Linked DNA regions of Oryzias latipes. The protein of the gene in region 1 interacts with the protein of each later gene in a biochemical or structural test. Links are inferred from orthologs where the notes say so. Each region holds a gene or a part of one and is shown in the gene's direction. Other genes may lie near its edges. The genes, in order: copb1 and arcn1.

What was found.
Region 2: the proteins of copb1 (region 1) and arcn1 form a complex in vitro, tested with the Homo sapiens proteins (2 studies listed by BioGRID). The link is inferred for Oryzias latipes from reciprocal best matches to the Homo sapiens genes COPB1 and ARCN1.

The regions. Positions count from the first base shown.
Region 1 is NC_019861.2:19,353,278-19,365,953, forward strand, and holds the start of copb1 (coatomer subunit beta), read left to right. Parts: upstream 1-6,289; 5' UTR 6,290-6,419; intron 6,420-7,900; 5' UTR 7,901-7,962; coding exon 7,963-8,053; intron 8,054-10,360; coding exon 10,361-10,590; intron 10,591-12,676. UniProt on the Homo sapiens protein: The coatomer is a cytosolic protein complex that binds to dilysine motifs and reversibly associates with Golgi non-clathrin-coated vesicles, which further mediate biosynthetic protein transport from the ER, via the Golgi up to the trans Golgi network.
Region 2 is NC_019871.2:31,553,067-31,565,742, reverse strand, and holds the start of arcn1 (coatomer subunit delta), read left to right. Parts: upstream 1-6,437; 5' UTR 6,438-6,707; coding exon 6,708-6,710; intron 6,711-10,868; coding exon 10,869-11,132; intron 11,133-12,302; coding exon 12,303-12,482; intron 12,483-12,567; coding exon 12,568-12,676. UniProt on the Homo sapiens protein: Component of the coatomer, a cytosolic protein complex that binds to dilysine motifs and reversibly associates with Golgi non-clathrin-coated vesicles, which further mediate biosynthetic protein transport from the ER, via the Golgi up to the trans Golgi network.

The DNA.
Region 1 (12,676 bases):
TACACTTGGACTAAAGAAAGAAGGTGAGATGTTTTTTTCCCCCAGAAATGGGGCTCTCTGTCGCCCCCTATAGGCTACAACTGTGATGTGGAGCCCAGACCCGGTCCAGCAGTTTTTCGACGCAAGTATTTCAAAGCAGACACTATTTTGGAGTATTTTACTTCGACAAAACACTTTTAAACTATTCTGTAAGACGACGCACAGGCCGGTTTGTAATCAGCCTCCATTCAAACATGTATTTTATTAAGAAAAATCAACTTTCTCTAATTGAAGCGCCTGTCACTGCTCTCATTTAACAATTCAAAAACATGTCTAGAACTAGAAACATTTTACAAAAGTCCATACGAGAAGTTCTATGAATGATGCAGTCTAGGACCATTCCCATCAGGCACTGTGTTGTTTTCAAATGCAACATTTTCTAATCTATTTTAGTACACAATTAAAATGTTCTTCCTCTATTTTCAATGAAAATGATAATTTTAAAAAAGAGTGCAAAATAAAAAGTTCAATATCAAATAGGCCCAGAAAGTTCAGTCATAAACAGAAATCAATAAATATCTGGTAAGTGGCCCCATCGTGTGTCGCTTTATCACGCCACTCTGTTATCAATTAGTTGTACTGACTAGGAGGATCAGAGGATCACCGAGTGATGGATCCAAACAAACCACTAGGGGGGATAACGTTACAGGAAATGAGCTGCACTAAATTGGTTATCACGAGGAGGAAAGCGCCATCCACCTTTCAAAAAGAGCCTCTTTTTATATCCAGGTGTAAAAGCTGCCGACCTAGTTTTGAATTAAAATGAGAGATAAGTGTATATAGGCTGCTACTTTTACAAAAAATAAAAAGATTTAAGATGAATATGTTACAATAAATAATAAAAACCGGTTTTATTTTCAAGTTTACTGAACAATTAGTGCAGAATTGCAAAAAAAATAAAAACAAGATAAACACCAGTTGAAAAGTTATTTTTAATGTTTGGAAAAACATAATCTGATGTTTTTCCTTTGTGACTGTTTCCAAAGTGAGTTCCAAGAGTTATTATTGTTTTTGCAAAATAAATAAGCTTTCCTGTTTGCTCTTCTGTGCAAATGTCAAAGGTCTGTCATTTTACCTTTACACTCTTGTGACATTTGATGTCTTACAAAGGTATCACTCTAGTCCATTTTGATATCTCCCATGCCATTACTTGGCAAAAGCAGTCTATTTAAGTGTACTACAATTAAACTTTATCCATACGAAAAGTGAGCTAGTATACTTGAAGTCTAGCTTTTAGATACTATCAATGTATTGTATTCAATTCAATTCAAACAACTTTAGCAGAACTTTATGTAACATGTTTCTGTTTTGTACAGTTAGTGACTGAAACCAGCGGATAATCGAGAAAGTTTTTACATTTTCAATGAAAGCATAAGATAATCTCATCAGAATGTCACTGCCGGTTCCAAATTATTTGAATTTTCTCAGGAGGCATTGTCTCTGAATGCACAAAGATTGTTCTCAGGTACATGTGTGCTCCTTAACAAGCTTCTCAGCGAGGATGGAGTTGAAGTTTGCAAACAGGAGCCTGGCTGTGCTGTTGGGCATGTCCAGAAGCTTATGAATGATGTTCATGATGAAGATCTTTGCTTCATCAACACTGCTGGCAGCTCATCCATGATTGGATTGTTTAGCTTTGTGACGACCTTTATGATCCTCTCCATGAACTTCATTGCCAGAGATGTAAAAGCCACAGGATAGAGATTATTCAGGACCACAGGTTTGCCTTTTTTCTCAATGGGGATTACTGTGGAATGTTTCCAATGCGTAGGTACTGTGCTGCTGGACAGAGAGCTCTGGAACAGATGGTAAAACACCCCTGCCAGTTGCTCAGCACAGGGTTCACCCACAGATGTTGTCTGGTAGCTGATTTTCTTTTTGTCCTTTCCTTTTTGGTTTTCACAACCTCTGCTGTGTTTGGGAAAGTCAGAAAAGATTCCTTAGTTCTGAATGAGGAAATGGCTGAATTGATCTGATTGATGTTATGCTTCTCAAATCTGTTGAAGAAGCAGTTGTGGCCGTTGGGAAGAGAAGTAGAGCTCAAAGCTGCCATGTTTTTGACACCCTGCCAGGCTGCACAAAGATTCCCTGTTGCAAAGGACTATTCTCCGTAGTTTTTGTAATCCTGCTTGACCCCTGTTGGTTGACCTCCTTGTTAACCTCTCTCTTTTTTAAGCCTCACCACAGGCTAAGAAAATTCTCTTTTTTTTTTGTTCGGGTTGGTTTTAAGAGCTATGGTTACCATGGGTGTGTTGTTGGGCTAGATGGTAACTTTTTTTTGAAGGGGATACTACTGTCCACACAGAAAGAGATGTAAGCAGACACTGTCTCCACCTGTTTGTTGATGTTGGAGGAGGATGTGAGGATGTTCCAATAGGTGGTTTCAAAGCATCTCTGCAGCCTATCAATACTCACTGTTGTCCACTGTTTAATGTCCTTAATTGTTTTCTGTGTCCTCCTAAGCACTGGGCAGTAAAATGGACCAAGTACTATACTTACTAAAATCAACTTCAAGTGTGCTACTTTTTTGTTGAGGGATCTTGATAAACAAAAATGAGATCTTTTAAAGGAATGTAAGCATCCGCAAAATTCACAAAAAAATATTTTAATCTTACATCAGAATTCCCCTCTGGGAAAGTCCTGTTTGCAGACAACACCACAGTCATTGGGATCTTCAGGGATGGCGATGAGTCTGCTGACAGAGGAGAAGTGGAACAGGTAATCCTCTGGTGCAGCAAGATCCACCTGGAGTTTAACTCACTTACAACATTGGAGATGACAGTGGACTTCAGGAAGACCCCACCCCCCTCAACCTACAATTCTCAACAGCACTGTCCCCTTAACCCTTTTGCTATCCTATGACCCCACCCTTACATTGACGTGTTCTCCCTACCATGACAAAGGTGGATAAAGGTGAAGAGGATTTCATGTAATCCATGAACACCAGTGAAGATCACAAATCATTGAAGAAAAAAGGTTCAACACACTGTCTTGTGGGGTCTAGATGACCCAACTCCCAATGTTAACGTGCCAAGGATAGCACAAGGGTTACCAGACTCACGCAGCTTCCTAGGGTCCTCCATCTCACGCGACCTTGAGTGGACCTATCACACCGACTCACTCCGGAAAAAAGCTCAGCAGAGGTTGTACTTCCTGTGACAACTTAAGAAGTTCAACCTGCCTCAGGAGCTGCTGACGATCTTCTACACAGAAATAATCCAGTGTTCCCTGACTACATCCATCGTCGTTGGATCTGCAACTAGAGATTCATCAGATCTGCTGAGAGGATCACTGGTTCCAGCCTTCCCTCCATCCAGGATCTGTTCTGGTCCAGGGTCAGGAAGCGGGCTGGTAGAATCGCTAAAGACTCCTCTCATCTTGGACACTACCTTTTCAGCCTCCTCACGTTAGGGTGGAGTTTCAGAACAATGTGCGCCAAAACCACTCGCCACAAAGTCAGCTTCTTCCCCCGACCTGTCACTTTCATGAACTTCTGACCAATCACAGATTATGGAAAAGAGACATGAGAATTGTCACACAGAAGTACTGTTGTATTTTATTTATTTTTATTTATCGTTATATTTTTCTTCATATTTTTTTTTTTTTTTTTGTCTTTACCTTTTTCCCATTGTTGCTTGGTTTGCACGAGAGCATGAGACACCAAAGCTAATAAATTCCTTGTATATGCACTGTACTTGGCCAAGAAAGCCGATTCTGATAAAACCATGAACACATATTTCCAAAAGTAATTTACTTACTGTGTAGTTAAGATTAAATTAAGAAGCAGATCCACCTGTGACAGAGTACATAATAAATCTATTCCTCACGTTGTTCCAAATTTGTCAACACTCTATAAAATTAGTGACTTTTGGGCTTATTTTATGGGTTCATGTCCCTCTACCTTTTTTTTTTTGACTACCAAATATTTCATCACAGACTAGACACGTCTTCTGTTAAAAAATAGCTGTTTTTTTCTGTTTCAGTACTTAATTTTTGTTCTAATGTTAAATTATCATAACTTTTAAGTGTACACATCCCACCAGCTGTGTGAAGGGTATGTCACATCGTCAAAAGCTTTAAAGTACTCGACTCCTTTTTTCAGCCACTTTGATTTGGATGTAGAATCAAGCTGTTACCAAAAAGATGTCACTTCATTCACTTAAAAAAGGCTGTAGTTTTAAAATAAACCATACATTGTCAGTGATGGCCAACAGCTAAGATATTGACCCTAAATTTGTTGAAAAAACGATTAATTCAATAGAGACTCAATTCCACAGAGAAAAAAACAAAAAAGTTATTGAATGGAGTCTGGGAATGTGGGAAACTTGGATCGCAGGCCTCAGCCATGACTAGTGATAAGAAGTTTTGATGATAATAACAGGAAACACACAGATGGATAAAATTACTTCATTTCCCACCAGAGGTGCTGAATAGAGAAAAACAGAGCCATGCTAACATGGGAAGATTTTCTGTTCCCCAAAATCTAACAATGCTTAAGGATGAGAACAAATAAACAATGCAATAAAATAAAAATAAAAACGGACAAACCAAACTTGTCACCAATGTAAGCTGGTAAAAAAAAGCACACTAGTGTTTAATATAGCCCTTTGACTTGTCATCATCTGACAAATGACTTTTTGACTGCAGACATTTTACCATAGCGCAGCAGGAAAAGCACTTATGTGATTAATAAAATTAACAATGACTGCACATGATTAAATTTAACCCGGTCTGGCATTGTGCATGCTGGCTCATTGCTCTAATGTCATTTGTTGCACCTGCTGCCAGAACAAATGTCTGCTGTGAAAAGGTCAGGGAAAAAGTGGAGCACAGCACTTTTGTCAGTGATGCAGATTGCATGGTGAACTTCTTGCTGTGTTTTACATTGCAGCGTACAGAGCAATAAATGGCATAGAAAAAAGGTCAATGGCAAAAAGAGTCTCTCTCCTGCACCACAAAATGATGCATGAACTTTATTCAAGTGGCCTAGGTTTTTGCATTTCATTTGAGATCCTATATTTGTTTGCAAATTCAACTTGCGAACAACTTTTCAGTGGACTTTCAAACATCTCAAAATCCATGCAAACAGACTATGCATGGTTCCTTCTTGTTAATCAGTGTAGTAGTTGCAAAATAAAATTAACATAATGTTTTTTAACTGAATACTTTCAAAACCCCTTCCTCAGCCGAAGAGTTTCAGATTCCCCCAGAAAAATCTAAATTTCCTGATTGAGTAGGAAAATAAGGTGTGCTTTTTTAGTTGCTACACTATATGTAGTCCTCCACTGAAGAGCAGCCGTCCACTTTTCAACATGAACAGAGAAAGTTAGTGTATTCCCATAGTAAAAAGACTCTTTCAAGTTCTTCAGAGGTTAAAAATGTCTCACCTCAACACAGGTAACACACAGTTTTTCTCTGTTGGAGTCAAGCATGAAAAAAAAAATCCACATTCAGCATCCCGAAAACCAGTCAGAAGATAAAAAAAAAAGAAAGTTTCCTCAGCACAGGAGTATTGATGTTTTCTAGCACTCTGGACAGAAGCCTGGATCAAAGTTGAATATGTTTTTCCCCCAAATTCCAAGAAGAAGGTCAAATTACCCAGCTTAACACACTCTTGTGTTCCTCCAAGATGATTTAACTGAAAATGAGTCCATAAAACAGAAACTGTCAGATCAATACGAGACAAAGGCTTCTCAACATCCACAGTCTTGGAGCAGCTGGAGTAACTTGAGTATAGATTTAATAACTTGCCAAGCGCCTAGTACAAAAAGTAAAAAGGAGACAGACCAGTCATATATGACCTTCCTCTGTTTAATATGAAGTGCTGCTTGTCGTAACCAAAACATCCAGCTCTCGTCAGGAGGATCCTGGCTGAGTGGAGCCATCACACCCTGCAGTGAAAAAGTAGCTGGGCAGGCTTTAGTCTGAAAGCAAACAACCTGAGTGTGGCATCAATCACTTAATGAATCCAGTGCATGTGCCTGTCAAATCAAGAAGGGGAAAAAAAGAAAGATAACACTAACAGGCACTCCCATAACTGTTTGTTGGAAATAAACCCACATACTGGGTTTACTTTAATCAATAATAGTTTAAAAAAAAGCGTGTGTTTTGATTTCTAAACGTTTGTATTTAAATTGTAAATCAAAGAAATGGAAAAATACATTCCCATGTTTAGCGGTCGGTTTATGCGTTGCGCGTTTGAACCTACCGGCGCACCGTAGTTGTGATGTGGCTCAGAGAGCAAGTTTCTTCCACGTCACTAGGAAGTGGAGCTGACGGGGAAAAGGGTACCATCGCTCTTTTCACAGGGACCTTTACACATGTATACGTTTAAAATTGGACATTGAAGGTGACATCGGAGGACACAGACGTACAATAAGGTAGATTATGTTATGCAATTAGTTTAAATGTTGTGAATAATAAGCATTTAGTAACGAGGCGGCTAGCCATCGCAACATTGTCCACCATTTCGTTGCAAGATTAGCCGGTGTTTAGCTAACGCTAAAAATGCGAAAGTAGTAATTCTAACTTAACCAAACTAGCTGCGTATTTGATTTAATTGTTCATTTAACCGGTTAATATACGTTTTTTTCGTGTCTAGCGGTTTGGTGCGCATACTCGTAGCGACATTTAAGTGAAATATAGTTTTTTTTTTTCGGTGTACTACTAGCAGCACTGGCAGGCACCTGTGACTGTATCCCAACGATTTTCTCCTTTTTTTTCTTACCTAGACTGGAAGTTTTATTCGCTTTAAATGAGTTCTTAGTTTTATATATCAGGATAACAGCCCTTTAAAATGTTTATTACATTCAGAGGAATAGTTGGCAAAGACTTTCAGTCAGGGTAAACCTGTAATAATAAATATAGCTCCAAGATTTTTATTTTGAAAAAGTAACTGTTTGATTCAGTTGTTTTTTATCGAGACATGATGGACAAAACTCACTCTGCAATTTTTATACACACAGATGGTTTGATAGCCTTAAAGTATGAAATTATGTTTTTTCAAACATTTATTGTTTAGGTTTAAATGATTTTTACATATAAAAAAGCTGTGTTGTGGCTTGTTTTATTTTTAAATTTGCGTATGTTTGTATAATATTAGCTTCTTTTTCGCTTAACTTTTTAATGAAATATGACACAAAAAATGTCATATTAAAAAAAATATTCTTAGAATTTTCTGCAAAGGGATATCACAATACCAGAAATTAGGCCTGCACAATATACCGCAAATGTATCGTTATCGCAATATCCAGCTCTGCAATATGCATATCGCAAAAGACGGCGAATATCGCAATAAATCGCAAACCCAAAATGTGTTAAAACAATCTTCTAGCAGCTTGAAGCATTTAACGAATCAAATAAATCCCTTTATGCTTTGACCAATCAGATGGACTCCTTCCCATTGTTGACCAATCAGATGGAGGCCTATTATGTTAGATGTTTGTCCCCCATGTCGATGAGAGTCATTTGGAGTATAATTTTTAAACTGTTGCAATGAAATGGCAATGATGTTTTTGTTTATTTTTCTATTTGTTTATTTACCGCAAATTTATCGTTATCGCAACATTGATCACTAATATCGCATATCGCAGGTTTTCCTCATATCGTGCAGCCCTACCAGAAATGTAGTTGTGACAATAATGCTAAAATTAAACTCATTTGGATATGTATATCCAGATGGGAAAAGCGCCACATATCTTTATTATTTTTCTTCTTCTTTTGAGGCCAGGAAATCAATAACTGTTAATCCTTTCAGTCAGCCCTTTTTTTGTGTTAGTTTTCTTATGTTTTCTAATTTAACTATTGATTTCTTCACTTCTTGTCTGACAATTTCACAGTTTTTCTTCTGTTTTTTTTACAGGTATTATCCGAAGAGGGATACTCATTGCAATTTGTTTGGCCATAAACAAGCTCAGCAGCAAAATGACGGCTGCAGAAAACGTTTGTTACACTCTCATCAATGTTCAGTCGGATTCCGAGCCCCCGTCCGAAGTCAGCCTCAAAGCTGATCTAGGTAGAGATATTACTTTTCATGTTGTTCTTAAATTCAAAGCTTTTTTGAATTGGTCTCGATTGATCACACATGATCATACTGGCGATGCTCGATCTGAATTTATCAAACTTATCAGAAAAAGAGAATGTAGGCCTGGTTAATTAGAATAATATACACATTTTTTTCACGTTTTCACATGTTTTCTAGGGATTATTTATCAGAATATCCATAGATAAAATGAATTGGATGCTTTATTACATAGTAGTTCACCAGCTGTGTTTTTTTTTTATCAGTAACTGCTTATTGACAGGGCTTAGAAATGCCACGTCTTCTTAAAATTAAGTGTTAAGTCGATCCTTTTTTTTCATATCAATTATTGTTGCAGCTTTAAAATGAAAGACTTCAGTTGTAAATGTACTTAGATTGAACTGTTTTCACTTAAAAACAATTTTAAAAATTAACAGCAGCTCTGCAGGCAGTTTAGATATGCTTATTCAAGTTAAATGTGCTTCAGTCCGGTTCAAGTTGTCAAAAATAATTTATTTTGTTGAGGTGGTTTTGCAAAACTACAAAATAAGATATTGTTGGCAAATTTATTTTCACATCTTTTCAAATTGATTAAACACTCAAATATTGATCCAATACAACCAGGGCTCCAGACTGCGAGCAATTGGTCGCATTTTGCGACCAAAATTTGAGAGTGTGCGACTAAATTTTACATCCAGTCGCACATGTGCGAGCAGTAAATTTGCCTCCCCCACCCTTCGTATTTTTTTTATACATTAAACGTGGAAGGGGCACGTCAATGATCTATGAAATAATCAATGAGACGCGAGCGCACACGCACGCAGGCAGACACACACACTCGTGCACATACTCATGAAACGCAAGCACGAACACTCTCGCGTGATGCCTGTGTGTTAGGCGGCCACTGCGTGTGAGAAGAATAGGGAAAGTCACTGTGAGTGGCTAAAATGCGTGTAGGGGGAGGGGCCTAGAGCTGACCAACCAATCACAGTGGGGTATATGACTCTTGGGGGCGTGACAATGACAGGGTTTTGCAAGCAGGAAACTTGACAGCCCCCTCCCCGGACCACATTAAGGAGTTCTTTACTTTCCTTTCTAGAACGTATCTATTCGCTCGTAATTTTCTAAATACATGCAGTCCGTGCTGAACTTTTCTCTGGGTCACACAGATCCGGAGGAAGGTTTAGGTTTTGGTTACGGTTACGGCGGCGCATCATACGGGTTACGGCAGCACACCGCACCTGTCCCGCGGGAGTCGGGTCAGCTGAGGAGAATAAATGCCCCACACCTACATGCGTGACAGCTAACGGGGCTTGAACTTTAAACACGCTCGAGCAAAAACAACATTAGTTTTAGACACACTGAAAATACGTGGGGAAAATGCAACGATAGACGTGTTTGAGATGAACCAGCACCTCGCCTGGATCGTTGGGGAGACCAGGCGGGGGGGGGGGGGGGGGGGGGGGGGGGGGGGGGGGGCTGTGAGATGAAAGCGAATCTGCAGCAAGACTGAAGGAGAACAGGAAATTGGAGTTGTCCTTAACATTCAATTTAGATTTAATATTCTTCTCCCCCTTAGTATGATCTGTGTTATTATATATTTTATGATTATTTTAATGTTTTGTAATGTATGTAGCCTTTTTTAATGAATTGGTATTTTAAATTATTTTAATTAATCACTCCACTACAAAAACCATCAGGACACATGTCCCATAATGCATTGTTTTGTAGTCTGTAGGGCAGCTTTCAGTCAGTTCAGTTTCCAGCTGTGTCCGGGTAGGTTTGCCCCTTGCTCCCACCCCTTTCTCGCGATATTTTTGCGATGATTGACAGTTAATGTTGGAGCAAAAACAAATATACATCTCACACCAGGTGATCTGCGCAGCGTTGAGTCCACCTGGGTGATCTCAAACACGCTTGTTGTGCATCTTGGCTGCACCTATTTGGTGTCACAAAGATAAATTTCCATCCGTTTTCTTTACTTATTTGTACTGTCATGACAGCGATGCTTTTGTCAGTTTACCTGTTGTTGCATCTTCAAAAGTGCAGAATAAAATGTGACACTGAATTTGAAACAGCACATTGTAATATCTGCATCTATTATTAAAGTATTTATTAGTAATACAGTGGAAATTAGTAGATTTGGTTAGAATGTTGATTTACGGTGTGCGCCCCTAAATTTTCTGGTTGTGCCCCTAAAATTTTCAGTTAGGGGCCACTGTGCTCCTAGTGAAAAAAGTTAGTCTGGAGCCCTGAATACAACATGATGAAACGATGCATCCAAATAATCTTCTTCTGCAGAGAAGGGAGAGATCAAAGCGAAGACGGAGGCCCTGAAGAAGGTCATCATCATGATCCTGAATGGGGAGAAGTTGCCAGGCCTGCTTATGACCATAATTCGCTTTGTGCTGCCACTTCAAGACCACACCATCAAGAAGCTGCTCCTGGTTTTCTGGGAGATCGTCCCTAAAACGACTCCAGATGGAAAGCTGCTTCAGGAGATGATCCTGGTCTGTGATGCCTACAGAAAGGTAGGCTGCTGCTTGAAGAATTTCTTTATATTATTATAACATGGTTGAGGAAGCCACAAAACATGGCTTTGCCACCATCTACATTCCCAAGACCACCTGATAGCAGCAGAGTAGGGCCTGATTACCGTAATTTCCGGACTACAAGCCGCTACTTTTTTCCTGCGCTTACAGCCCTGCGGCTTATTCAGTGACGCGGCTAATTTATGGATTTAATTAGTGGCCGCCATGTACGTACTTTCGAACTCAGTGAATAGTTTGAATTCTTTATCTAACACCAAGCACAAGACATTTATATTCAACACACCTCTAAGCAGCCAAACAGCATGGACTTGACTTCAGGTCTTAGACACTTCAGTCATGGTTCAAACAAAATGAAACACGCATGCCCGGCCGCATCCCAGAATCCTTTGGTGCCATTAGACCCAACGTGCACCAGATCGCCGCTACAATATGATGAAGCTTTCAAGTTAAAAGCAATTGTTAAAAGCAGCGTAAAAAAGTCCACCGTCACCAACGGGTTTGGAAAAGCCGGTTTGCTGCGTGACGGAGAGAACAGCGCATGGAGTGAATTTACACTCCATTTACGGTTTCTAAGGAAACCGTAAAAGCAGAATTTTGCTTTGAAAAACTCACAGCCTCCGTGTGAGCTGGAGACATCTTCTCCTGCTGATTGAGCTGCGGGGCCGATGGCAGTCTGAAGGCTCCCACACGTAACAACGCACCCGCCCCTCATACACAAAACGTACAGTATTAAGTCCGATTGCTTTGCACAGAAACGATTTGCTCGGTCCACCGGCGCAATGGGGACGAAGTGCTCCTCCTTGAAGCTGCCCTGGCCAGAGGTGTCGGAGTAGATAGGAAGGGGAGACAAGGAGCGCGCGGGGCGGGAGCGGAGCGCAGAGGCGTCCGCGGAGTGCAGAGGCTTCTGAATTCTGACGCACGCGCCGCACTGAGGCGCGCGTATCGCGCTGAGGCGCGCGCTTTTCAGTCGCCGCTGCTGTATTTTACCGGTGTGTTTTTTAACCAGCCCTGTTACTCCCATAACGCTGCCGCGACACAAGCGGAAGGAGAGCTGTACCCGTTCACCCCTCCATGCACTGCTGATACTTGCTCATTCTTAAACACGTACTACAGAATGGCGAGCCGGGCATTGGCCCCGCCTTTAGCCCCTAAGACTCATGGGAAATGTGGAATCGCGGATGTAAATTTCCTCATCATAACTGAGGGATGTAATGTTGATTATATGGTTACTGTTTCTAATTTTATGTATGATACCTAGATTGTCAATAAGTAAAAAAAAAATGAAATAAAAACACCATAACTGAGGAACTTGTGAACAGAATATAGGTCCATGCTGTTTGACAGTTGTTGACATATACAAATACATGAGCCTGAGTCAAAGCTAACTCCACCCACAATGTGCTAATGATTTGCACTCACTCTGGGATGCTGGCCGTGATCTGTCAGGATGACAATATCGCCTAACACATGCGCGGCTTGTACACTGACGCGGCTTGTGTATGTATAAAACTAATTAAACATGTGAAAATGGGTGGGTGCGGCTTGTAATCGGGTGCGCTTTGTAGTCCGGAATTTACGGTAGTCTTTGGATGGGAGACAGCCTGGAACTGCCAGGTGCTGCGAGTTCCCGCCACCACATGGGGGCACTTTCCTCTGTTTCCTTGTACTATAAAGCCAAATCTCATGTGATTCACTATAGTGGCCCTATAGGAATAAACAAACATTGTATTGGATGCAGCAGCTCGGTAAAGTTTGTAGCATTTTTAAACAGACTTTGATTTGAATTTTTAACTTGCTAGTTTGTTTCAATGATCTTTTTAGTCAGTTGTTGGCTTCAGACAGGTTGGTGATTTGACCCACAGGAGACAAGAACTTTATTAGAATCTCTGCATGTGACATCCGACTGTTAAAAACAGATAAAAAAGCACTGTGCTGCATTAGTTTAATTATGATAAACATTTGCAACTTTACATTTATTTCTAAAGATTTTTTTCCACTATTTTTCTTATGGCAAACCCAAATTGTGTCCAGTTTTTGGATAAGCAGTTTAAAATTATATTAATGT
Region 2 (12,676 bases), on another chromosome or scaffold:
TTTCCAACGATGGACGACATACATGAAGAAGATTAAGACTAAAACTGCATTTCTGAATTTTCTTTATTCAAATTGTTGTGAATTAGGAGCAGACGTTAGAAAACGATCATAACCGTGACGTAGAAACGATGCTGGGCGGAGCAACAGTCTCTCAGCTCCTCCCCTTTCTGATCATCCTCTGTCAGACACATGGATCCATGAACGTCTCTGTTTTCCTGGTCTGAGCTGGAATCTGGATCACAACTGGACCGATGATATTTATGTTCAGGGGGTGGCGCTGTAACCTTGCAGGAGAGGTGTAGACAGAGAGCTCTCAGTAATAAGATGGGAAGGGGGGGGGGCTTCATGCCAACAGCCCTGGCCTCAATTCAGAGGTGAATTTCAAATGAACTATTGCTGCTCTACAGAAACTATGTCCGAGTTTGTTTTTGTTTTGCTAAAAACAGCCTATTCCTCATTAAAAGACCACTGAGAAAGCCTTAAATAGATGAAAACATGCTTAGCGTGAGAACCTTTTCCTCTCTCATGCATGTCTGTGTGGATAATAGGAACCTGTGGTGGAGCGGTTGCACATCTGACTCAGCGCGATCTGAGTCAGGCTACACCCAGATAACAGACAGCAGCACGGCTGTGCAGGCGGGCGGCTGTCCGCTGCAGCACAGCCACAGGTGTTGAGCCGAGGCACCACTCTGACGAAGAGCAGGAAGTCTGAGGACTGGTTTGGACTGTGGCTCTGCTGGGGGGGAGGGGGGGTTGACATGTCATGAAATGAATTTCTGCTTCAAAATTACAAAAAGGCCAAAAAAAAAGATTAACATTTGTAAATCTTTTGGATTACTGACTTAAATTAACATTCGCATTTCAATCTTAATTATTTATTTATGTTTATTCTTTTGTTTTCTATTTTTAGTTATGTATTATTTCCTTCTTCTTATTTTCCTTGCTTTATTTGGTTATTATTGAAAAACAGTTTAAAAAATGTATTTTACTTACAATTTTATTAGTTTAGATTTTGTAAAGGTCAAAACCATGTTGTTTCGTATTCAGCACTGTTTTTTTTCTTAATTGTATTGTTATAAATGTTGTATTTTGTATTGTATTCAGCAAATGTTCAACACAATAAAATTAATAAGAGACACTTCAGGATGGTTTGGTTTAAAAATGAGAGAATCAACGTTAACTCAGAAAACCTAGAGAGATTTGTCAGATCTGTTCGTTAATTATAACCGCGTGTTGAAACCTCTCCTCTCTCCTATCGATCTATGGCGTTTGCCAACGAAAGCTGGGGTAAAAACGGAGAATAGCAGATTTTAAAAACATTAAAGTAAAGTCAACTGACGCACCGCCCCCTGCTTCTTCTCAGCCAATAGGAGGCCGCGTCTCGAGACGGACACCTCCACTGGCCAATCAGAGCGATCTACCGCGCGCGGCGACGGGTCGACCGATTAGGCGCTTTGCGTGCGTGTCTCAGGAGTTACTGGGCTGGACTCACCGCAGAACCGGACCCCTCCGACATAACGTAGCTCCTCTGTGGTGTGGGGCACTGTTGCCGGAACAAAAGACCCAGAGAGTACCACGAAGTCCGGCGGTACGAGGGCAAACTCCTTACCCGCTTCCTCGTGCCAGTGATTGTGCTTCCGGTGATGTCACGGCATCGTAGAAAGGTCACTTCCGGCTTTTCAATGAATGAACAATTACTTATGCAGTAATAACAGGATGAATTGACAAATTATATCCGAAAAAGCGTGCCAATATTTTAAGGTGGGAACTGTGGAAGAACGACCAGAATAGGATGTTTGATTTCCTCTTGAAATCAAACATCCTTGAAACATCTTGAAGTCCTTTATCTCCAATAAAATGTATTTTGGTGTTTTAACACATCCTTTAGCATTTTTCCAAAGGGGGGGCATATGTGAAAAACATTAAGATTAAAACTACAGTAGGGGACGGAAGATCAGAGTGTGTGTTTGTGAGCATGTGTGTGTTGGAGTGTACATTGTTTGGGGGTTAAAGGGTGTGTGCACTAAAAGTTGCAGTTAAAATTGGCGGGTAGGACACTGAGGGGACACCTCCTGCTTGCTGGCAGTGATGTCCAAACACCCTTCCTACCAAGGGTCCTACATGTCCAAGGGGGAATTAAAACCAAGAGGGGAGGGTCTCGTGTCCATGCGGCAACCATGGGAGGGGGACCACTGCCAAGTAGCCCCTCCCCCAAGGTGCATTGCAGGCTGACACCCCCCCGGATAGCCCCAACCATATTGTCAGCCAAGTCATTACTATTAAAGTTTTTAGCAATGGTTTCCCTGGGCTGCACAGTGACATAGTGGTTCTCGTCTCACAGTGAGAAGGCTGTGGTTTGAGGGTTTGTCCAAGCACTCTGGCTTCCTCCCACAGTCCAAAAACATGCTGCTCAGGTTAATTGGTGTCTCTAAAATTGCCCCTAGGTCTGAGTGTGAGTTTGGGTGATTGTTTGGTCCTGCAACTGAATTGTGACCTGATAAGGGTGCACCCCAATTTTCATTACATGTCCATTAACTTGTGTAATACAACAGACTTACTGCCCAAAATGTTGTTGTCCAGAGCCAAGATGATGAGGGACTTGAGGAATAAAAAAAAGTGAATAAAATCTATTTTTAGCTTGTTATCGGTTCCTAAGGTTTTAAAATGTAATTGGATTTTAATTACTGAAATAAATTTCCTGCCATCCTTCATAAATACTTTGAGGTCATTTAGTTTTTTTGTACAAATGTGTTTAGTCCGTTTTTTTCCTGCAGAACTCTCGGATTTGTTGACATGCAGTCATTTAACTAACTTTAGGTACTTTTTCTGTCTTTCTTTGTTTTTTTTTTGTGCATGTGTGTGTCACAGGTCCTGGTTTTCTGGTTTTTGTTGTCCTCTTTAAAAAAAAAAAACAACTTATATTCAAACATTATGGACTAAACCAAACAAAGCTAAGAGTTGCTTCCCAAGTTGTGTTTTCAGTGCTTTAATAGTAACAAAAAGAGCCAATCTAGCCACAGGGGTTGCAAGCCAGTAACTTCTGTGCCGGTCCCAAGCCCGGATAAATAGAGAGGGTTGCGTCAGGAAGGGCATCCGGCGTAAAAATTGCCAAAATAACCATGCGAATCATCCACAACACTTTAGACATACCGGATCGGTCGAGGCCCGGGTTAACAACGACCGCCACCGATGCTGTTAACCTACAGGGTGTCGGTGGAAATTTGACTACTGTTGGTCGAAGAAAGAGGGGAGGCAGAAGGGTCCGTTGCCAGAGAGAGAAGGGAAAAGGCAGGAACATAGGTTTGAGAATAGGGACTCTTAACGTTGGCACAATGACAGGGAAAGGCAGAGAGCTGGCAGACATGATGGAGAGAAGGAAGGTAGATGTACTGTGTGTGCAGGAGACAAGGTGGAAGGGCAGCAAGGCACGTAGTATTGGAGGAGGATACAAACTTTTCTATCATGGTGTTGATAGGAAGAGAAACGGGGTAGGAGTGATTCTGAAGGGGGAGTTTGTAAACAGTGTTCTAGAGGTGAAAAGAGTCTCAGACAGGATGATGAGCCTAAAGTTAGAAATTGAAGGGGTGATGGTGAATGTAGTCAGTGGGTATGCGCCACAGGTTGGCTGTGAGTTAGAAGTGAAGGAGAGATTCTGGAGTGAGTTGGATGAGGTCATAGAGAGTTTTCCCAGAGGAGAGAGAGTTGTTATTGGAGCAGACTTTAATGGGCATGTTGGTGAGGGCAACAGAGGTGATGAGGAGGTGATGGGCAGGTTTGGTGTGAAGGAAAGGAATCTGGAGGGACAGATGGTGGTGGACTTTGCGAAGAGGATGGAAATGGCTGTAGTCAACACTTACTTCCAGAAGAGAGAGGAACATAGAGTGACATACAGAAGTGGAGGTAGGAGTACTCAGGTGGACTACATCCTATGTAGACGAGGTCATTTGAGAGAGGTTAATGACTGCAAAGGGGTGGTAGGAGAGAGTGTAGCCAGACAGCACCGCATGGTGGTGTGTAAGATGACTCTGGAGGTCAGGAAGAAGAAGAGAGGGAAAACAGAAAAGAAGACCAAGTGGTGGAAGCTACAGAATGAAGAAACTTGTGAGGAATTTAGGCAGAAGTTGAGGCAGGTCCTGGGTGGTCAGGATGAACTTCCAGATGACTGGGAAACTACAGCAGAGATTATCAGGGAAACAGGTAGGAAGGTGCTAGGTGTGTCATCTGGAAAGAGGAAAGACGGTAAAGAGACTTGGTGGTGGAATGAGGAAGTACAGGAATGCGTCCAGAGGAAGAGGTTGGCTAAAAGGAAGTGGGATGTAGAAAGGACTGAGGAAGGTAGACAGGAGTACAAGGAAGCGCAGCGTAGAGTGAAGAGAGAGGTGGCAAAGGCCAAACAGAAAGCTTACGATGAGCTATATGACAGGTTAGACACAAAGGAAGGAGAGAAGGACTTGTACAGGCTAGCCAGACAGAGAGACAGAGATGGGAAGGACGTGCAACAGATAAGGGTGATTAAGGACAGAGATGGAAAGGTGCTAACAACCCAAGAGAGTGTACAGAAAAGATGGAAGGAGTATTTTGAGGAGCTGATGAACGAGGAAAATGACAGGGAAAGAAGGGAGGAAGATGTGGTTGTTGTGGAGCAGGAAGTAGCAGAGATTGGAAAGGATGAGGTTAGGAAGGCTCTGAAAAGGATGAAGAGCGGAAAGGCCGTTGGTCCTGATGACGTACCTGTGGAGGTATGGAAGTGCCTAGGAGAGACAGCAGTGGAATTTCTAACGAGGTTGTTCAATAGGATTTTAGAGAGTGAGAAGATGCCTGAGGAATGGAGGAGAAGCGTTCTGGTTCCGATCTTTAAAAACAAGGGTGACATGCAGAACTGCAGCAACTATAGAGGAATAAAGTTGATGAGCCACACAATGAAGCTGTGGGAAAGAGTAGTGGAAGCCAGGCTTAGGAAGAAGGTGGAGATTTGTGAGCAGCAGTATGGTTTCATGCCCCGTAAGAGCACCACTGATGCCATTTTTGCTTTGAGAATGTTGATGGAAAAGTACAGAGAAGGTCAGAAGGAGCTGCATTGTGTGTTCGTAGATTTAGAGAAGGCGTATGACAGGGTGCCGAGGGAGGAGCTGTGGTACTGTATGAGGTCGTCTGGAGTGGCAGAGAAGTATGTCAGAGTAGTTCAGGACATGTATGAGAGAAGTATGACGGTGGTGAGATGTGCTGTAGGTCAGACAGAGGAGTTCAAGGTGGAGGTGGGACTACACCAAGGATCAGCTTTGAGTCCTTTTTTGTTTGCTATGCTGATGGACAGGCTGACAGACGAGGTAAGACAGGAATCTCCCTGGACAATGATGTTTGCGGATGACATTGTAATTTGCAGTGAGAGTAGAGAGCAGGTGGAGGAACAGCTAGAGAGGTGGAGGTTTGCTCTGGAAAGAAGAGGTATGAAGGTCAGTCGTAGTAAGACAGAATACATGTGTCTGAACGAGAGGGATCAAGGTAGAAGCGTTAGGTTACAGGGGACTGAGGTGAAGAAGGTGCAGGAGTTTAAGTACTTGGGGTCAACAGTTCAGTGTGATGGGGATTGTGGAAAAGAGGTGAAGAGGCGAGTGCAGGCAGGTTGGAGCGGTTGGAGGAAAGTGTCAGGAGTGTTGTGTGACAGAAGAGTGCCAGCAAGACTCAAAGGAAAGGTGTACAAGACAGTGGTGAGACCAGCTCTGCTCTATGGGTTAGAGACGGTAGCAGTGAGACAGAGACAAGAGGCTGAGATGGAGGTAGCAGAGATGAAGATGTTGAGGTTCTCCTTAGGAGTGACCAGGTTAGACAGGATAAGGAACGAGTACATCAGAGGGACGGCTCATGTTGCCTGTGTTAGCGACAAAGTCAGAGAAGCCAGACTGAGATGGTTTGGACATGTTCAGAGGAGGGATAGTGGATATATTGGTAGAAGGATGTTGGAGATGGAGCTGCCTGGCCGGAGGGCAAGAGGACGGCCAAAGAGGAGATATATGGATGTCTTAACAGAGGACATGAAGTTGGCTAACGTTAGGGTAGAAGATGTTCATGATAGAGTGAGGTGGAAAAGGATGATTCGCTGTGGCGACCCCTGATGGGAAAAGCCGAAAGAGAAAGAAGAATAGTAACAAAAAGAGCCAATGATTGAACCAAATCACCTCTTTTGTAATGAGAAAATATTATTATTGTGGTCTACTTCTGCAGGTATCATAAAGAAAGTACCTTAATGATGAAACGGGGCTCATGTTACACATTTCAATTCTGAAAATTGTCATGTGTATGTAATTTGTAAAGTAGAACAGTTTGGATGTAAATTCACAGCACTGGTCGGAGGTTCCTGATGGGGCTCGTGCCGTTGTTCCCTCTCACTTCTTAGTGAGTAGTGGGTGCGACGCAAAACGCTCGCGGCACGCGTCTAAAACCGGATCAATCTATGGAGAAACTGGGCGCTCGAGCGTTTCCACTCGACAGCTCCAGGTTTTGGTGTCCGCGTGACACGTCACTGTTTTCCACGCAAGCTGATCAGGGCCGCGCGCTCCTTCCGGTGGAGACGTGGCTCTGCGGCGGCCATATTGACGCTAGCAGTCCGTGGAAGCCGCGCGCGTTGTCAGAGACTACAGTCCCTGGACCAAACTCAGAACCGGAACCACGAGAAACGGACTCCAGCGGAATCCCGAAGACAGACCACAATGGTAGGTGTCTGTCCAGAACCGGACCCCCCCTGCTCCAGTACGCGTCGGGCCTGCAACTAGCATAACATTGGCTAGCAGCTAGCTGCTGCGCTTCGGAACGGAACTAAAGTCAGGAGACGCAACTGTCCTCTGGTTTGGTTAAGTTTGGGTCCAGCACAGACTAATAGTGCAGTTGGACACGTTGTCCATTTAATTAGCTAGTACAGATAGCGAGGCTAGTGTTGTCAAGCCGGACTGGACCGACCGAACTTGGTTGATGACGGGTCGTGTTCGGCCCGGGAGTAATTCTGTTCTGTGTTGGCTGTGAATGTCATTAAAGTTCTGTTAGTGTGACCCTAGCTGCTGTTTGTCAGTACCAGAGTTCGTATAAGATTTTAGAAGAACAAGAACAGTTCGGTCCTGCTCTGTGTGGCAGCTGCCAAAGACACACAACAGTGTCATGATTTGGCACACCGTCCATGTTCGAGGTTCCGAAGGGTCCAGTGGGGAACTAATGGCTCCTGTCATCAGGTCAGAGTTCTGAGGTTTGAAGATCTGGAGTTTTCTGTGATTCACCCAAAATATGCCCCAATTCATCTGGGAAGCATTCCAGACGCTAAGGTTTGTGGGTAAATGAATCGCATGAACTGGAGTGCACTCTGGGTACGTTCATTTATTTATTTGAGGTAAAACGTCAATATTTTTTTCATAAACGTCAATAATACCGCATAAACAATTTAAGTTGAATTTATTTGTAAATATAAACGACTCAGAACACAGCAGTAAACAAGACTAAATACTTCATAATGAGCATGAGAAAAACAACATGCACTCTGTCTATCAGAAGTGTACAGCTCGGTTTCACCTAGAGGTTCTGTCAACTGGCACCTGGTGATCACCTTGTGGTCGCCGTGGTGACCATTAGGCCTGTTAACTTGTTTCCCCGAATGTCCCTTGTCTGCCTAAGCTGAAGTGAAAATATGACAGACTAAAAATGAGGATGTTGCCAAACTAAATGTCTCTCCGATGGAAGGGAGTCATTCACAAATGAATGAAACTACATGTTCATTCATTCCAACCCCATTATTTTCAAAGACCCACTCCAATGGAAATTGTATTTGTGGTGTCATTAACTTGTTCTTGTAGCACTTATAATGAAGGACATGTATCAAGAAAACTAAGCTGAAAATTTCATTTCTGAGTAATTCTTTATTCAAATCGTTGTGAATCAGAATGGGGGGGGGGGGGGGGGTGTGATGATGTGTTACATACAAACTACAATCATTAGGCCACAGGCTCCCTGCTCCAGTCCAGTCTGATGCATCCACCTGGGATCTGGATCCAAACTGAAGGGCTGGATGCCGTCGAATTAAAAACATTTTCTTTTTTTCTCTACCAAACAAATGCAACCACAAGAAGGCACAGTCCAGTGCTTTCATGTGCCTGTCAAAGGTGTGTCAGGAAGGGCATCTGGCATAAAACCAAAGCAAAATCAAATATGAGAATCTCAATCAAATTTTCCTTTTGTGTGGTTTAATTAACTCTTTAACACTGGAGCTTTAGCTTTAGTGTTGACATTCTTTCGACTACGGTAACTCTTCAACAGTTGATGCAATTAACGTAATTCCAGTGGATTCTGCAGCGGAGAAAAGCATCTTTATCTTGACATCCAACACTTACAGTAGTGATATGCTTGCCCAATCAACAAGTCACCCAATCAACACTTCTGTCATGCAGTAAAGCAGCTTTGCACCCAGATTGATGCAAAGCTGGTCTTCTCTGCTTCAGAATCAGCTGATTAACTGATCGCCAAACATCAAAGATTTACCATCAAAAAGAGAGAATTGTTTAGACGTCACTGGAGACATCTCTGGTGTTAATGACTTGTTACTGGTACTGTTGACCTAAAGCGGGGGTGTCAAACTCATTTTCACCGAGGGCCTCATCAGTATAGAGGCTGTCCTCAAAGGGCCAGATAAAACTTATACATGTAACTAAAAATAAACGTAACTGCTCCTTGATGTTAAATAACTCATTTATTTATTTGTTTTAACTTTTTGAAGTGACCATTACAGTTGCATAGAAAACATGTTTGCTTGTTACTCTAGCATAAATCCTTTGAAATGTTGTCCTCTTATTAAAACCCACGATCAAACTGTCCACGTGAATAAATAACATCAAACTGAGCTAGAAAGAACACGTATGACACGTGTAACATTTTACAATAAAAGGCTGCACACAGCCGTGCATCCAACTGATGGTTTGATGACAACAATTTGTCTGCATACACACATAAGACCTGCAAACATTGAATAATGACAACTGCAGCTACACATTAATAATATGTAATCAACTAAAAAAAATATTATAAGAGATTAAAAACGTTTATGCTGTGGCAGGCCACATAAAATATGGCGGGCCACATTTGGCCCCCGGGCCTTGAGTTTGACACATGTGACCTAGAGGGTTCATGTGCACTAATGCTGGTCAAAGGAGGAGAGGAAGGAGGTGTGGCAAAACTGGTACCTTGCTTTTTCTCTCTTTGGCAAAAAGAGCAAATGAAGTGTGGCAGTTTAGGAGAAGAACCTTTGATTATAGAGACTTTAACAGGGAAAATACAGTTGGCCAATACGTTAGAAAAAACATGGATGTACTGTGTGTTTGACAGACCAGATGAAAATGCAGGACGTTTTATTAACTGGGAGCAGAGTTGAAGCTTATTTCTAATGGTGTGTGCAGAAAGCAGAACAAAGAAGGTATGATCCACAACCCGCCGACGACATCTATACATCTATAACGACTCGACTTTTCATGGGATAAATGGGAATCAGCTGATACCAAAGCAGAGGAAAGCGTCTTTTCATATCTGCTTTGTACTGGCGGCTGAATGAGACCACTTTGTCTGTGACAGAATCCACTGATTGTGTAAATACTTCACTACTGTAAAGTGTCCAAAGAAAGTCAGTCAATTTATTTATATGCACAATATACCCATCCTTCTTTGCAAAAGTTTGGATGTTGTCTGTTTTCGTGGGAAAAACGCAGACACACTGCAGAGGCCGGCTCTAGGTTGATATCATGAAATGGGCGGCACCCAAAAGGAGAGAAAGGCGGAGCCTCAGAGATCGAGCCGTCTTACTTCATGGTTGGAAAATGAGCTGCAAAAATAACTAATATTTCTTTAAAAAAATAGCTCTTTTGTGTGGCAAATGTAATATGATATCATATGCATGGACATAGTTTACTATAAAAGGATTAAGAATAGCATCATATGGGCCTTTAAGTACTTTTACAAGAAATCACAAAAATTTGTCGATTCCTAATTATTTAAAATTCACAGAATGATTCCAAATCATTTATGGGTCCTAATTGATGCATCTATTAATCTAATAATCTAGTGTCAGATGTGACTTGTGTTGAGTCTGTAAAAATGAAAGGTGAGAGCAACCATGTTGTTGTTTTAGAGACCATTGCTCTGACGCAGAGCTGGAGGTGAAGGTAGAGATGTTGAAGTTCCCTTTGGGAATGACCACGATGGATCAGGAGTGAATCCATCAGAGGAAACGGCTGATGTGGGATGTTTTGGAGATGAATTTAAGGAAGCAGATTGAGACGTTGACAAGGGTGACAGTTGTTGTGTTGGTAGGAAAACTGAGGTTTGAGCAACTAGGACGGAGGCCTTTAGGAAGACAAAGAAGGAGGTTTTTGGAAGTAGAGGAAGAGGACGACGTGATGAAGATGGTTGGTGTGAGCAGAGGATAGGATGGAGGTGGATGATGCACTGTGACAACCACTAAAGGAAGCAGCCAAAATGAAGAAGAAAAAAATCATGCTAGTTCCTGTCTTTGTTGGTGACTGAGTCCTCCCTTTTAAACAATTGGGGAGGACCATCTGTGGATATTAAGTGAAGCTAAAGTGGGAAGCAGAAGGACTGCGACTTCAAGACTCAGGAGATTTGATCAAGCAAGTTGGGTAGAGAAGATTCTAAGGGTAGGTACAGATGGGAGTGGTCATACACAAACAGGTTCGTGTTCTTAAAAAAGCCTGACATGCCTCTGTGTCTGCACTCAAAGTATTGATGTCGACATTTAAAGCAGATGAAGGTGAAAGAGTCTGCCTCACTCAAGAACTTTCTAATGTTAGACAGTAAACCCTGATGATCCCTACTTTCCTGCACAGGTGCTGTTGGCAGCGGCGGTGTGCACCAAGGCTGGAAAGGCCATCGTATCGCGGCAGTTTGTGGAGATGACTCGGACCAGGATCGAGGGACTCCTGGCTGCCTTCCCAAAGCTCATGAACACAGGCAAGCAGCACACCTTTGTGGAGACGGACAGCGTCCGCTACGTCTACCAGCCTCTGGAGAAGCTCTACATGGTTCTGATCACCACCAAAAACAGCAACATTCTAGAGGACCTGGAGACCCTGAGGCTCTTCTCCCGTGTGGTAAGAAGCTGACATGCTGCTGAATTCCTGATGCCTGCATCATTCTATCATGATTATAGGTTTTCCAGCAGTAGCCTTACAAACTGATCATCTTTACTACAATTGCAATTTCTGCAAACTAAGGACGGATCAAATTTGCTTTAGTGTAACAATCTCTTTTTTTTTTCTTGAAAAGCCTCTTTGTATTATATTATCCAGATGACAGCCTTTAAACCTACTTCTATGATGGAATCTACCTGGATGAATGAGAGTCTTCACAGACATTTTTCTACTAGTTTCCTTTCTGTTCAACCAGTTTTGAGAAAAGGCTTACCAGCTGTTTCTGGGTTAGCTGGTCACTCATCTCATCCATAATCTGGACACAAAGAAGTTCCTTCTGCATCTGCTTTCTCTCAGTCTACACAAAAGATCCAGTTATCTTGTCCTAAATTTAACCAGTACCAAAAATAAAGTCCCAGATCAGTGGTTTTTGACAGAAATTATTTAATTCAAATACCGTGTTAGGAAGTCCAGTTATGTACAAACACAACTTCCTGTCAGTATTTGATATGTTACATTTTTTTTAACTTGACAAATTTTGGGAGTGGGTTTTATTTATTTATATTTTGTTTCAATTATTTATTTTTAAATGTAACTCGAATTTTAGCATTGCAAAGGTTGTGTTTGTTTTTTATGGCCAATGAGCCCAATTTCCCATTTGGCACATAGTAAAGGAGTAGAGGAGGAAAATACAGAAAACAAAATCACCAAAAGGAGAGAGCTAATAAATATGACTAATTTGACACCAACATCTGGTGACTAACACTCCAACTTTTACTCGCCAAAGAGGAGACCTAAACAAAAAAATCAGAAATGTGTCGAGTGGCTTGTCCGCTTGGTCTGTGCTGTATTCTACATCATTGAATTTTTCAGGAAAAATGGGTCTGGATTCTTCTGGGTTACGGAGTCGAAATGAATGAACTCTGGTCAAATTATTGGTCCCTCTTTAGTCAATGTTTTGTAATATTTATCAACTGTGTAAGTGTCCATGGCAGGATCAGATGAGAAATAGCTGGTACTTTTTTCCTAGTTTGCTTGGGTTTTCAGTCCACTGCAGTGTTGTCGGTGCAACTTTCAGCAGGAGGTTCTGCACGTGTGCAGAAAAAGCTCACAACGCTGTCGTCCATGCAGATCCCAGAGTACTGTCGCGTGTTGGAGGAGAGCGAGATCTCCGAGCACTGCTTTGACCTGATCTTCGCCTTCGACGAGATTGTGGCTCTCGGCTACAGGGAGAACGTCAACCTGGCCCAGATCCGCACCTTCACAGAGATGGACTCTCATGAAGAGAAGGTTTTCCGTGCTGTCAGAGAGGTAAGCTGCTCCTCAGATGACAGCCAACTGAAGAATGAAGAGCTGATGCTGTTCAGTGCTTGACATGCAGATTTGCTGATAACAGACACAGGAGCGCGAGGCTAAGGCAGAAATGCGGAGGAAGGCCAAGGAACTTCAGCAGGCCAGGAGGGACGCTGAGCGCTCTGGGAAGAAAGCGCCTGGCTTTGGCGGCT